2 linked regions of the Struthio camelus genome follow. The protein of the gene in region 1 purifies or fractionates together with the protein of each later gene. This does not show direct contact. Links are inferred from orthologs where the notes say so. Each region holds a gene or a part of one and is shown on either strand. Other genes may lie near its edges.

Region 1 (7,572 bases):
CATAAGAACAAACAGGTCACCCTGAGATGCACAGGATAGGTGGCTCTGGCGATACAAAGACACCAAAATCTTCAACAGTTGTAAGTGGAAGCAACAATAATCTCTGCTCCCCCACACAGACATCTTTTCCAAAATGCTATTGTTATTAACTGGAAGGGTGACACGAAGCTCAGGCGCACCAGAAATAAAATTGTTTGCTTTCTTGTTCAAATAGAAACAAACATTCGGAAGAAGTTTCACGTGAAAAGTCTGGTCATTGGTGGCGTGTCTTTTGTCAGCCAGATAAGCATTTGTGCCTCCTTGCCTTGTTAAAAGGATAATCTTTGGAGACTTTCATGGCATCGTTCATGCAGAGGGTGGTGACTAAGCAGTGCAGTGATAAACCAGGCTTTCCCACTGAAGAAAAGAATGTAAAGGCTTAGTATCCCACTGAACATATCTAGCTTGATCGGAGAGGTGTCCAAGATTGACTAATCACCCATCAAATGTCTTTTTCCATCACGGACTAAGTAAAAATCACAAGAAACTATACACATCTTATTCATTATATGTGTGCCTTGGGGTGTTAGATGAGAACGTAACAGTGCATATTTATATCTGATGCAACTCATTCAAAGTCAACATATTTGCCCCTGGAATCAATTCACTCCAAGATGCCTAGGATATATATTTGTATATGCACAATATTCATTTCACTGATCGTCTAGAGCTTAATGAGATGGCATGTGCAAATCACTGTGAATCCAGGAATAACTCTGGGATTAAGTGTTTTTCACTCTGTCTTTTATGATCCATGCCAAACTTATAAAACTGTAGTCCAATGTAGTACCGTATACTAATTAATTAATATTTTCATTAGTGTCAGAATTCAATAATAATCCATTTGCAATAGAATTAAAGCAAATTAGACGAAATTATGTAACTCTTTGTACTTTCCGTGTGCCCTGAAGTGGTGCTAAAATACCACAAAACCTTGAGGCTCAAAGATGTCTTTACTTTCCAGGAAAAATAACGTACAGATTTTTAGAAGAATCTTACAGTTACTATGTAAGCCATGCAAAATGAAATGGACGTTATTTTTAATATCAGTAAAATGTACGACCGTTTCCTAGTTTCATGGCTTCTCAGCTGTTCAAATCCTCTTTATTCCTCCGCTGTCACTACTCACAGCTTTGGCATCAGAGCGTATTTAAATAGGAGGCACAAACGCTTGTCCTCAGGACTTTCCTTGCTGATTGTTTCCGGCCAACCGCGTAACTGTTACAGCAATGCTTACAGGATTTCTGGGAATACTTAGACTAGACAAGACCATGGTGGGCGCTCAGATCCTGGGGTGTCCTGTGTACCGCTACATTTCTGTGGTAGGTGTGCACAAAAACGGCAAAGAGATCCCTCAGTGAGATGGATTAAAAGGTGGATTAAAGAATTCTTAGCAAATGTATTGATATTTTACTTGGTAAAGGATAGTGTATCTTGCGTCCAGGGTTTAAGCAATAAATGTTAGAGACCAAAGAGAGACCTAAGTAGGTCCCAAATCTCTGAATGACAAGGTATGACATCTTCCTGCAACTGTCTGACGCTGGCCCCCATTATAGAGAATTCCAGATGATATTGACTTCAGTTTGGGCTTCATCCAACATGATGTTACTCAGTCGTGACCCAAGAGCTGAATCCACTAGGAAAATGAGGGAAGTAGGCGCTGATTAATGCAGGACTGAGATTTGTTCATTATGAGCTTGGTCTCACACCATCTGCTGCATCAGCTTTGTCTGGGTGAAAACCTTTCTGAGGAAGATGTTCAGGCCAGCTTTCAGGGAACATTTGTCAACCCTATGGGCTATAAGCTCAGTGGCACCTATGCGTAGTTATTAGATATTATCCTCACCTAGGTTTCTTTGCTTGTTAAAAAGAGACCACTTTCATATGTAGAAGATTCTTCTTTTTTAATCTGATTTGAGCTGAATTTTTAGAGAAAATACACTTTTTTTTGTAGAGTGGGAGTATTAAATAGAGTAGAATAGGAATAGATGTTTGTATGTTGATCCTACTACCTCTTCCTCTGTGGATACATGTTACAGATTTCTGTTTTCATCAGCAACCAGGAACAGTCAGTTCTTCACTTAAAGGCTCAGAGCTAGCCGTGGAGATCCAAGCTGTTTGCTGAGTAATTGTGAGCGTTTGGAAAGGATGAAGCAATGGTCATTCTTCTCAAGCATCAGGTCAAAGCTGAGACAGTCATGTGACATCATCTAAAAATACGGTGGTGATGGAATAGAAACTCTTCTCTCACCTCCCCCCTCAAATTAACAATGTGGGAGAAATAATGTTTTTACATGTATTTGCATGTGTTTCACTGTGTGAGTACTGAATAATAAAAGCTATGTTGGAAAGGTAAATGTATATCAGTCGCTATCGTTTTCTGTTTTTAAATTAGAGGCTTTAGAAAAAATGGGCCAATTTGGACATAAGCAGAGGTTGTACACTTTTAAAATTGCTTTATGTGCTTATTTTACACTGTATTTAAACACTAAATCTTCACAGCTACAACCTGAGGACATTGAATCACTAGTTATATTGTCTTCTATAAATCATCAGCCTTCGATTAGCAGGAAGAAGACTTGAAAACTCATTTCTCTTTTCTCTAATTTGATCTATAAGGACTTAAATCCTCCATATTATGAAATAGATACAGAAAGTATGGTATATAATACCATGCAATCTATATTGTGTAGTTCTATACTATATATACAACTGTGCAACTGTATGCATTACATACACAGTGAATACTGTATAATTGGTCATGATATATATACATAGTATAGACTATGCAATGTATATGCAACAACAAAGGAAAATTTTAAAGTCCAATTGAAGCATTCAAAACCTGGAAGGTTTGTAAAAACGGGTAACTGTTCAATACCTCCTCAACACTTCTTAGTTAAGAGAACACCTTACTAAGCCTTAAAACATGTTAAATTAATAAGGCTGCAGGCCCTGTTTAGTCGACGTTATCAAACCTTCTGTGGAGCACAGAATTTCTGAATTTTGTCTGACAGCTTTTCTACTGAGCTAACAGTTTAGGATGTCTGTGTTTTACAACATGAATTTCTCTTCAAATCCTCAGTTTCTCTTCTCTTCATCTTATGCCCCAGACAAGACTGAGAGAGCACTATTGTCACCATTTGCAAACGAGGTGTTGACTCATTAGGAGATCAAAGCTGTTAAAAGCTCCGAGAGAGGCTTAGGGCTTGAAGTCTCCGGCCATACCCGAAACACCTTTTGTTCAGCACCTTCTTCTCAATAACCCCAGTGGCTGTGGTGAGTACTTAGTGTTTTGTCAGGCACACCACTGGCCCTCCAGACGGACAGCCGTGATCCGTGTTCTTCCTGGTGGCTGAGAAAAAAACGCTTTCGATGGGCTTGCTTTGACAGAGTCCCAGACAGACCAGGTCCCCGGAGCGGCATCCAGCTGACTTCATCTCAGGACAAGTCTGTCTCTTGCCACCTCTCTTGTCCCCTGCGCCCCTTCCAACTTCTTTAGCAAACCAGGTGGAGAACAGACAAAACCTCCTTCTCGCAGGGCGATGACTCATTCCTTGCCCGCTCTAAATCCGCGCAAAGAACGGATTGGAAGCGCCATGGAAAACGGCGTGGTCGTTAGCGGAGACGAGCACGCAGCGTGCCCAAGAAGGGGCCAGATTAAAGCGGAATGGATGACGTTAATGCTCAGGTTTCCTAACCTGTAAGAGAAGCTCGCTGGACTTTTTTTTTTTTTTTTTTCTTGGAGACACACTTCGGACCAAAGCAAAATGTTTTAATAAAAAGGTACAATTCAGTTTCCTCTCACTGAAAACGTTTCCCCATCTCCCGCCCAAAACGTGCCTAAAACCAAACACTTCTTACTAGACAGAAAACTCGCGTTTTCACTCAGGGCGGTCAAAGGAGCGCAGGCTTAGAGGGGGGCTTACACGTAGGGACGGGACCCCGCCTCATAGAGAGGGGGGGGGTCCCCGTTCCCCCAGGAAGGACGGGCGGGGGGGTCCCCGTTCCCCCACGAAGGACGGGGGGTGGGGCAAGGCCGGGCTGCCTGGGCCGGGCCGCGCCGGGCGGCCTCCCCGCGGCGGGACGCTAGGGGGCGCCGTCGCCGGAGCTCGCCGGCCCGGGTGTCCGCGCTTGGCGGCGGGCCGGCTCCTCGGCGCCGCGCATCATGTGGGCCAGCCCCTTCCATGGAGCCGGGGTCGCCGCCGCTGAGCGTCTGCTGGGCGGACGCCGCCATGAGGCTCTGAGGGGCGGCTGCGCGCGGGGGAGCGAGCCGGCCGCGCGGCGGAGCGCGCCCAGCCTCGCGCCGGCCTCGCCGCGGGAGGGCGGGCGGGGAGCGCAGCGCAGCGCAGCGCTGCGGGCGGCGCCGCTGCCGCGGGTCCGGCCGGGCGGGCGGGCGGCCCGGCGCCATGTAAAGCGGCAGCGGCCCGGGGGAGCCGAGCCGAGCGTGGGGAGAGGAGCCGGAGGCGGCGGCGGCCGCGGGGCCCCGCGGGGGGAACATGGCGACGTCTAATCTCCTGAAGGTGAGGGCGGGCCGCGCCGGCCGCTGCCGGAGGGGCAGGCGGGGGCCGGGCGCCCGGGGCGGCCCCGCGGGGCCTGCGGGCCGCCGGGGCTGGGGCGAGCGGGGGGCGGCGGGGCCGGGCGCGGGCCGCTCGCCTCGGCCACCCCGCGGCCTCTGGGCTGCTAGCGGGCCGCCCGCCCTTCCCAAACCTGCGCCGCTGCGAAACAACGTTGCGCCGTGCTGTTAGGCCGGGCGCGGTGCTGGCTCTCTTGTTTAGATTTTTCTGCAACCCTGGATGTGCAGAAAACGAATTTTAAGTTGAGCCAGGGGTTGAAAAACGCCGCTGCGGGGAGCAGGTGTTGTGACTTGGGGGGGCCCTCTTTTGTTAACGGCAATTTTTCTGCAGAGAAAAACTCTCCCAGGCCTTTCAGTTGCGTCGAGCAGCTTTACTCGCATAGCGAGGGGTTTCCAGGCGCTTTGCCCATGTTTGAGGACAGATGTCAATCATCCTAACCTGTTGCAAATTTTAGGGGGAGTTTTTGCTGTGACAGCCCAGTATTTGCGTCCAGGACTGTCTGTCCAAATTTTGGTGGCGTGCGTATAGATCAGGCTGTATGTGGCCTTTGAGGCTGTGCCAGCACGTGGAAAACGGGCCTACTTAAAGCAGCTGTTACTAATGCCTCCAGTAAGTGTTTCTAGATCCTCAGTGTAGTTGTGGTGAAAGGCTTGTGAAAGATTGCTAGCTTTGTTTAACTTTATCGGCTAGCAGTTAAAATATATGTAAAATAAATATCTGTGTTCAGCGTCGTGTGTTGTATTCAGGTATGGTTCTGGAAAAGTGCTTCTTACATTTCAGCAAGCTGACCTATTTCAGGTGTGTGGATTTGTCCTGAAACTGTGGGTTATATTACTCTAAGACACTCAGTTTGCAGAAATGAGAAATAATTGATAGCCTTGTTTCTTCCTCGTGTCCAAAGAGAGAGGTTTTCTGTCATAAAGACAGAGCTTTAAAAAAAAAAAAGTTTTTCTTGAAATTGAAATGTAACGGAAATTAGTTCTTTTTCATTTCTCTTAATTCTTTTTCTTCCTGTGAAAATAAGCAGTTAGCTTTTTAAACTATGTAAGGTGTTAATCAAAGTCTAACTTGGAAGAATCCACACATTCTGGCAAAAAGCATAATGCCCCACAAGAGTTTCTGGAACAAAATGTTGGGGTTTTTTTGTGGAAGAGTATTGCTTTAGAGTAGGGTTCAAACAGTTTATCTACTTGATATTTAGTCCATTGCTTTGCAGTATGTGTAAGGGTTTCTAGGAAGGCTGAGAGGCGCGTTGATGAGAACGTGGTTGTGTAGCCCTCAGCAGCTAGAAGGCCTGTGAGATTTATCAGCATTCTGCTTCACCTCTTCTGAAAACTACTAGGTGTGCAGCAAGTGAAAATACAGTCAAAGTTCTTGACTCTGTGAGATGGTTCCTAATGACTTGAAGCCCTTTTGTTTGCTAGTGACAGCTTCACCACTGGCCTTTGAATCATTAATATTTTATGTTGACAAAAAGTATGTTTCAGGGAAAATGCTACAGGGAGATACTTAGAGTAGGCCTTTCTGGTGACTTGGGAGCTAACTTAGTAAGTTTCCTAAAGATAATAAAGTATGAGTTCTACATTACAAAAGAGAGCAATTAGACAGTGATTTCACTTTGTTTATAATGACAAAATAAACCAGTGAGAGAGTTGGAACTGGATGAGGGTTTTTGTTCCACAGTTCTGACACTCAGTGTGCTCCCGGAGAAGCAAACCGTTGATTGATTGAATGTCAGTGCTGTTGCCAGTGCCTCGCACTAGGGGGGAGCAATATCCCCTAGTCGGTAAAAATCCGTGGGGTAAGAAAGGAGAGATGTTAAAATCTTGAGGGAGGTCTGTATTTTTCCAAATTAGCCTGTATGCTAATGTAAGCCAGGTTGAGGCAGGTTCTATTTTTTGCTAGGATAAACAGGAACTAAGAGTTTTCTCTGGGTTTCCCCCATCCTCTCTCGACCTTCTACATAGTTGAGAAAATGAAGTGGAATATTCCTTTCCTATTCTAGTAATGGGTACTGGCTGAAGTGAAATCTGACTGGCTGCCCTTGTTTTAGAGGGCATCATTTAAACTCCACTAGTGCATGGTTTTTCTTAAGTGTAAAATGTGCTTGATTTTTAGGGAGAAGCATATTCTTAGACTTCCTTCTTTAAATGCAAAATTAGTATGACTAATCATATGTTGACTCTTGATGAGATGCAACAAATTTCAGTGTGATCAAAATATTAAACTACTTAGGAAGAGCTAGCCATTAAATGGGCAAGCTAGTTTATACTCTACCTATAGCAGGACTACTGTCCCATGTTAAGGCTGTGACTTTTCTGTAGGCTGTGGCTACAGCTCTGTGGCTGAGTCTTTGCTAGATTCGTTCCTTAGTACTTTTTCTTTCAACATACTTGTGGTCCTGGCTCTTTTAAAGTGGAGTACTTTGTTTCAGGGGATGTGTTGGACTTGTAACCTGTTCATTTTGCAGTGACAAAATAGTCTAAACCAATTCACTCATGTGACGTGAAGATGCACGTGTTTTCCTGCGGTTCCTGAGGCGCAGAACAGCTCAGTTTACTGCAGCATGAAGAAAACTTGTAGCTGTATGTATGCTAGCACATCCTGGCATTTCTCTGCAGCCTTACTGGAGGTGCTGGCAAATTCAAGAGTTGGCCCTTGCAGTCACAGGACTGGAGATTGAGCCTGGTATTAGGAGGGAAGAAACAAAACAAGCAGCAGATTTTCTGTAGGCTTGAGTGAAATGAGAACCACAGTTTACCTTTCCCTTTGTTTTAACTATTTTTCTTGATTTCATGCCTTTGTCACTGACAACTGGAAGCATGTCTGAAATTTTTGAATTCTTCAACCTAAAATAAATACTTCCAGATCTGTGGTTTACATTTGTCTGTCTTCCTGGCTACTTCCAGTTAGAATATACTTAAGATACTAGCAAATATTCTGCTCTAGTAAGCTT
Region 2 (7,083 bases), on another chromosome or scaffold:
TCAGCAAACTTGCTGAGGGTGCACTCTGTCCCTTCCTCCAGGTCACTGATGAATATATTGAACAAGACTGGACCCAGGACTGACCCCTGGGGGACACCGCTAGCTACAGGCCTCCAACTTGACTCTGCGCCATTCACCACAACCCTCTGAGCTCGGCCATCCAGGAATTAAGGTGCTGCCAGCAGCTTTGTGAGTGCTCTCAGTCTCTCCAAGCATCCAGACACAGCAACTGTCTCCCATCACCGCCAGTGTCAGGAGAGCTTGCAGGGACCTGTTGCCCCATTGTGGGCACAGGACCACCTTTTACCCTTCTGGAAGGACCTCCTCTGCCCAGGTCCTACCATTTCCCAGGTCCAGTGAAAGAGCCTAACACTGGAGGGTCATCTAATTCATAGTAAAGGACCACACTATCTGTCATGTGCTGAGGAAAAAACCAAGCCCTGCTTCAACAGTGTGCTGAGTTGCAGGCCACCTTTAAAGTCCCTCCTGCTGGTGTCTGATAAAATATAATCTCTCCTTGTCTCCATATTTCTAAAGATACTCTCACAGCCTAGCCAGGCTGGCAGGGAGGTGCTGCAGCCCCAGGTGGAGGGCATGCAATGGAGACAGGCAGCTGTGAGGAGTCAGACACAGGCTTTGCTGCACCAGCCTGGCTATATCTAGTAGAGCTGGCTTGCGGCAAGTGGATTGTTCTGGTGTTTAGGTTCAGGTGATTTTTTTCCTCCTCTCTCCATCCCTCTCAGATAATTCCAGGAAGCCACAGCAATGCAGGCAGCCCCAGGAAGCCAGCAGCTTCTGCCCAGCCCGCTCACTGCAAGCATCCCTGGGCCAGTTGGGCTTGCGCTAACAGGGGCACCAGGCTGTTCTGGACCTTGCCCCATGTCTGCCACAGTCCCCTTTTCCCTGTTGCCGAATCCTCCTACACAGAGGCAGCAGTCAAACTGCCATTCCTCCATGGCCATCCAGCCCTCCATCCCCAGCCTCCCAACCATCCCATCTTCCTCCCCCTCTCCCCACCCCAACCATCCAAGGGGATTTCAGAGATCAATGTGAGCATGCCTCAGAAAATAAGCAGTGGCACTCACAGGGTTAGCAGGATGTGGGAATGAGAGCTGATGCTCTGAAGACTAATAAAAGTTGAGTTCATGCCTTACCCTTAACAGAGGTACAGATGTGCTCTATCCCCTCCTTCGAATTATGGATTTTCTTGAAAAAGGTAGGAATGTCCCCTCTTACAGCATCTTTGCTGTCACATTTGGTTAGAAAAGAGCCATGGAGGTAAAAGAGATTTGGGGGAAAAGGGGAGTCAGAGGGGCTAATGTTGACTGGGTGCTGTTGAGCCCTGCTCTGGACTGTGGGCAGCCAGACCCCACTGATATGCACAGGTGTGTGCATGTGTGCATCGGGAAGAAACCTCTCAGACTCTGTAACCCTGCAGCGGCACCAGGAATCTGCAACCCATAGCCAGGATATGTTATCAGCCAAATGCAGTCCTGGCCTTACTGCAACATCTCAACCTACCCTCTGCTCCTGGAAATCTATAGGCTTGACCCCAAATGTTAATTTGATTTAATACAGCAATGTTTTCTGGAGATCTCCAGCACTCAAAATCACTGGAAACGCCCCAAAGGAGGAGGCGGTTTTAATGCAGTAGTGTTTTCTGGAGATCTCCAGCACTCAAAATCACTGGAAACTCCCCAAAGGAGGAGGTGGATGTGTGGGTTGCAGGGCTGGAGCGGAAGGAGCCAGCAGCCTCCTTGGAATACAGATGAGTTTCCCTGGTGCTTGCCGAGTTCAAGGCCCACTCAATCCCTGAGGAGTAAGGAAATTGGGGGTGGGTTAGAGTGTCATTTTAAATGGGACTAATTGTTACATGCAGCAAGGCAGCCAGGCTGGGAACCTAATTAGTGGGCTGGCTGGCTCTAAAAAGATTAGCCAATATCCATTGTTTAACACACAGCTACCTCAGTGAGCCTTGCAAGAGAGAGGATCCTCACTCAGCCAGACCCCAGGATCTTCCAGAGCCTCCAGCCCTCCTTCCTACCACAGTGGCCCCACACAGCCTGGGCAGGCAATAACACTGTGGCACCCCATCTGTGCCCCACTTCTTGGGGGGGGTCAGAGGGCTCTCATAGCCCAGAGTGCTTACAGTATGATAGCCAAGGAGTCCCTGGCCCCCCAGAAGGAGAGGAACAAGCTAGGTACCCACTCCTGCAAGTCTCCTTTGCAAAGCAAGCTGAGCTGAGCAGATGCTGGGGTGCCGCGCTGTCAGGGTGCCCAATGGTCAAGATGTTTGAGTGCAGACACCGGCGCTGCTCTGAGATGGCCACAGCCTGGAGGTACTATCTGGTATTGAAATGCAAATGAGATGAGCCAGGAAAGAAAAGACAGGAAAAGAATGAGGCTTTGAAACAGGGCTGCAGGATGTTCCCATCCCTGCTGGTGGTTAGGAGGACGAATTCACTCCCTCAGATATCTACAGCACAGTTAATGGTGCGGTTTGCCTGGTGACTGCCCAACAGCCTGATGGATGAGCTGCAGGCTGGAGCAGTAAGAACAGCAGTAAGAACGGTGAGACGTGGTTCCCCCCCCAAGTTTAGGGCCTTAAAGCAATTCCTCTTGGAACTGAGCTCATTCTCCAAACATAGGAATCCTTCCTTTCCCTCCAGATCACTGATAGTACGGCCTTAGGGGATCGGAATAGAACAATTTGATTTCCTTTCCAGGCTATTCTCCATCACAATGGACTTTTAATCCCAAGTCTCTCAGGCTGCTCAGCCCACAGGGCAGGCAGGCTGTTTGTCAGGATCAGCCTGCTGACTTAGCCCACCTTTGAAAGCTGGCCTGCAGGGCTAGATCTCTCCTTAAAGCCATTGCAGGCCTGCAGCATCGCCTGACTCAGCCCTGTGCAGCCCTCAGGGCAAGTGAGTGGGATGTGCAGTGGGATGCAAGCCGGCAGTGGGTGCAAGTGGCACAGGCTGGAACGAGTCCAGCGTGTGAAAAGCTGTATCGAGTCCAAAGCTTGTGGCAGCCACTGGGAAGAGTCCCACTGGCTCCGCCAGCCCTGAATCAGGCCCTACATGGTCCTTCCCACCTTGACCTGGCTCCCTCTCCTCAGCGACATATGGCTGAGATGGATCACACTTGCTCTGTGCTAGTTTCTCCTCTCATCTTCGCACTGAGAGCCTGATTCAGTAAAGCACTTAATGATATGCCTGACTTTAAACACATCCTTAAGAGCCCAGGTGAATCAGAGCCCAAGACAAAGAATTAATCTGCTTTCTTCTTTTCCCCTCTGGCCTGGGGAGCCCAGCTGTTAAATTCCTGTGATCTTTCTTCTCTCCCACACTCTGCTCTGGGGCAGACTTCTGTATGACCCTCTCTGCAAAGGCATTTCAACATACCACAGGGAAGCTGCAGCCTGGTGTGCTGATGCACTTCAGGCACCCTCATTGGAGCTGCAGGGGCTGATCCCTGCCGCGGCAGCACGCGGGAGCCTGGCGGTCCCCACCAGCTGGGCTCCCCACCGGCCTGCCCCCCTCCAGCCTACCTCACACCGAGCCTCCCCCCGACCCACACCTGGTCTGCCCCCATGCCTGCCTGCCTGCCTGCCAGCCTCCCCCTGCCCCTGCCCCACACCCGTCCTGCCCCCCGATGGCCACCCCCTGCCACACACCTGGCCTGCCTCCCCCTGCTCCTGCCCTACAGCCGGCCTGCCCCCTGCTAGTCTCCCCTTGCCCCACGTCCGGCCTACCCCCCTGAAGGCCTCCCCCTGCCCTACAGCCGGCCTGCGCCCCCCGCCGCTTCCTCCGCCCACATGTGCCCCGCCCCGCCCCGCAGGGAGCTCCCCGACTCCCAATCCCAGCATGCCCTGCTCGAGCGCGTCCTCAGCGGCGGCGGCCAGGCCTCGCAAGGCACGCCGGAAGCTGTAGTCTGCGCCCTTCAGCACCTCCCACAGACGGTCGGTCGATGCAGCCTGGCAGTCCCGCCCCCTCTTTCGTACGTGGCTTCCGATAGGCCAGAAGAGCGCGGGAGGGGCGAGGAGAAACGTGGGAGTAGGCGTGGTGGGGTGGTGGCAGTGGTGACGGACGTGGCGGCAAGCCTATGGAGACCGGGAGCCGAGCAGGGCGCTCGCTGCGGCCTCACCGTCGGCCGGCCCGGGTGCTGCGCGGCGGCGTCAGGCGGAGCTGGTGGCGCCGGAGGTGCGGCCGTCCTGGCGGCGGAGCTGCCCCGGCCCCGGGGCGCACGCCCGGCCGCGAGGTGAGTGCACCGGCGGCAGCCTGCCACTGCAGGCCTCCCTCGGCCGCGGGAGGGGCAGCGGGCTGGGCCGGGCTCCGTGGAGAGGCGGGGGCGCGCTGGGTCCCGGCCGCCGCTGGCAGGGCTGAAGCTCGGTCGGGGGAGGCGGCGGGCCCAGGCCTGGGGCGGGCAGGGCCGCACCGGGCGGGCAGGCTCGCGGCGCCTGGCGCCCGGGCCCCCGACCGCACTCTGGGGCGCCGCGGCGAGGCCCCGCTCGCGGGCGGCTCCGGCGGGGCGGTGGGCCGCTGCCGCACCGTGTTCTCCGCAGAGCCGGCGGGTGATGGGCTCCGCGCTGGGAGCTGTTGCTCCGACTTCAGTGGCCTTGAGGAGAATCAAGTGCGATTTCTTTGTCAGCAGCTGGGAGGAATGCTTGCTTAATTAATAAGATGCTAATCACGGGTGAAGGAACTAAGATTTTTTTTTTCTTCTTTTTTCTTCTCTCCCCTCCTTCCCCCAGGTGTCTGAGCGTATCTTGGCAGAGAAGATTAGATGCAAGATGGGGAAGATGGAGGGCTCGTTCTGAGATCACCTCCTTCTTCTCTTTCCTTTTCTGCCTCCCTTTGAAAGGGGGAGAGAGATAATCATTCTCATACATTTATCTTTAAAAACTCAGAGGCTGGAACTGGAGCTCCCTTCAATCTGGCTGTGTGTTTAGTATGCGGTTTGTGCCTCTTCACTAATGAGAGGGAGAATGGGAACCCAGGGAAGCCCTGTGAAGAGCTATGATTATCTGCTCAAGTTCTTGTTGGTAGGAGACAGTGATGTTGGTAAAGGAGAAATCCTGGAGAGCCTTCAAGATGGAGCATCAGAATCCCCTTATGCCTACAGCAACGGTAAGGCTTTTGGAAGGGGTGGTGGGCGAAAGCTCTGTCCTGTGACATTACAGGTAGCTTTAGATAAGGTGAATGATCTGTGCTTTCACAGTTCTTACTGAGCTGCAACTCTGAAATCTTGTAATGTATAGAGAAAAGGAACTCTGCATTATATCATTGTTAATAGAAAAATCAATTTTGGGGAGGGAGGGGCTCTTTTTTTTTTTTTTTTAATTGAAAATATAATGCGGTTTATTAGGGTTTGCATTCATGGTAGTCGAAAGGTGCTGACTGTTCCTTAAAATCACAGAGGTCTCCTGGAGATTCTGACTAGAGAGATGCTAAAGAAGTTGGTGTCAGATGTAATCACAAGACATGCAAATCCTTAAGCATAACTGGACCGTTACCAAACATAGCTCTGGTTGTATATCCTACTTAAACAGCCAAATCTATTTTCCATCATCACAGCAGGGGTTAATGCAAGGATTGATTGGTACTAAAAGGAAGTACTATGGGGTCTGCAACAAAAGAACAGTAACGTTATTTCCAGACTAAAGCTATTTATGACTTGGTACTTGGGTGTTGAGAGTACAGATTCATCTGTCTGCCCCCTGCAAACATCAGGGTGTACGATGGAGCCCATGACAGACCATTAACTATAGTGTCACAAGATTATAATTAAGAGCCAAGGAGTGACGCTGTGCTATTTCCTGCATCCCTTCACTGCAGTTAAAACGTAACACTGCCTGGTATGGTACAGGTCCTGGGGTGATTTTCAATCTGTCATAGATTTCACCATCTTCAGTGCAAAACAGTGGCCCCAAGGGTTTGACAGAAACGATCTAATTCAGATCCTGCATCCTCACCAGAACCAACCTGAGGGCTGGAACAGTTAGTATTTAGTTTCATCCGAGATAATCAGGTGCTTCTGGACGCTTTGGGCTGAAGCTGGCTGAATTTAGAGTTTAAAGGAGCAGTGTGGCTCAATTCCTAACTGTATAATAGTCCTCAGAACTAGTATCATCGTTTTAAGAACTGATGCAAGAGCACACCTGATCTGCAGATATTTATGGGGAAGCAGTGACTCAGAAAAGTCAGAATGGTTGTGAAATTGGAGTAGCAAATTCTGGAACTAGAGGATTGTGGTATCATTCATCTGTTTGGATGTCTGGCTGAGCTTCTGTGGTTTACCTTGGAGGAGTTACTTGACACTTCTAAGCTTCCCTGAAGAGACATTTTATCTCTGAAGAACCTGCCTCAGTTGGGAGCTATAGAACTGCTCCTTGGGATAAATATTTACTAAACAGAAATGGATGAAGAATAGAACAGGGATTGTTGTTTTGAGTTGGAATTGTCTTCTAATATAAATGATTTTAACCATTGTTTAGAAACAAGTGGTGGAATAATAGGTATGATTGAAAGGAGCATCTGTGTGTGATGGTACAAAAACAAAAAAAAACCCCAATTTTGTCTATAACTAAAAAAGTTTTGTCCCTGTACCCACTATTTTATAGCAAGACAATACTGCCATCTTTTTCTAGAAAAAAGAAATAACAGTACACTAATGTATTTAAAACCTTCTCCTGTCTTCTGTAGGCAGTGGAACCCATTCTTATGTAGTGAATTTTATACAGTCAGATACTGGGTTTTTTTTGTTTTTTTTTTTTCCTGACAATATATGCTTTAGTAGTCTCTAATTCTGTTGCTTCTGCTAAATTGCATGCTTTTTGGATAATCAGATTGAACAGCTTTGCAGTTTCAGTGAATTTGATACTGCTGATATTCTTGACAGCCTTGGCAATCGAATTTCCTGTGTCTCTGAAATAGCTGGGATATAATACTGACAGTGCAAGTGTCTCTGCCAGCATGCTTTAGCTGTGCCTTGACAAGACCAAGTACCTTCATATCAAGGGACGGACTTTGTGAACATTTAATGCTTGGCCTCCTGGCTGAAGCAGCTGGCTGAGGTACTATA

Evidence for each region. The genes of interacting proteins can lie anywhere in the genome.
Region 2: the proteins of CUL5 (region 1) and RAB40C purify together in Homo sapiens (affinity purification with mass spectrometry; 5 studies listed by BioGRID and IntAct, counting the BioPlex papers as one, with this or other methods). This does not show direct contact. The link is inferred for Struthio camelus from reciprocal best matches to the Homo sapiens genes CUL5 and RAB40C.

Annotation. Positions count from the first base shown.
Region 1 is NC_090942.1:205,700,838-205,708,409, reverse strand, and holds the start of CUL5 (cullin-5), read left to right. Parts: upstream 1-4,438; 5' UTR 4,439-4,538; coding exon 4,539-4,562; intron 4,563-7,572. UniProt on the Homo sapiens protein: Core component of multiple cullin-5-RING E3 ubiquitin-protein ligase complexes (ECS complexes, also named CRL5 complexes), which mediate the ubiquitination and subsequent proteasomal degradation of target proteins.
Region 2 is NC_090956.1:21,176,042-21,183,124, reverse strand, and holds the start of RAB40C (ras-related protein Rab-40C), read left to right. Parts: upstream 1-4,041; 5' UTR 4,042-4,260; intron 4,261-4,566; exon of another isoform or gene 4,567-4,632; intron 4,633-4,753; 5' UTR 4,754-4,975; coding exon 4,976-5,129; intron 5,130-7,083. UniProt on the Homo sapiens protein: RAB40C small GTPase acts as substrate-recognition component of the ECS(RAB40C) E3 ubiquitin ligase complex which mediates the ubiquitination and subsequent proteasomal degradation of target proteins.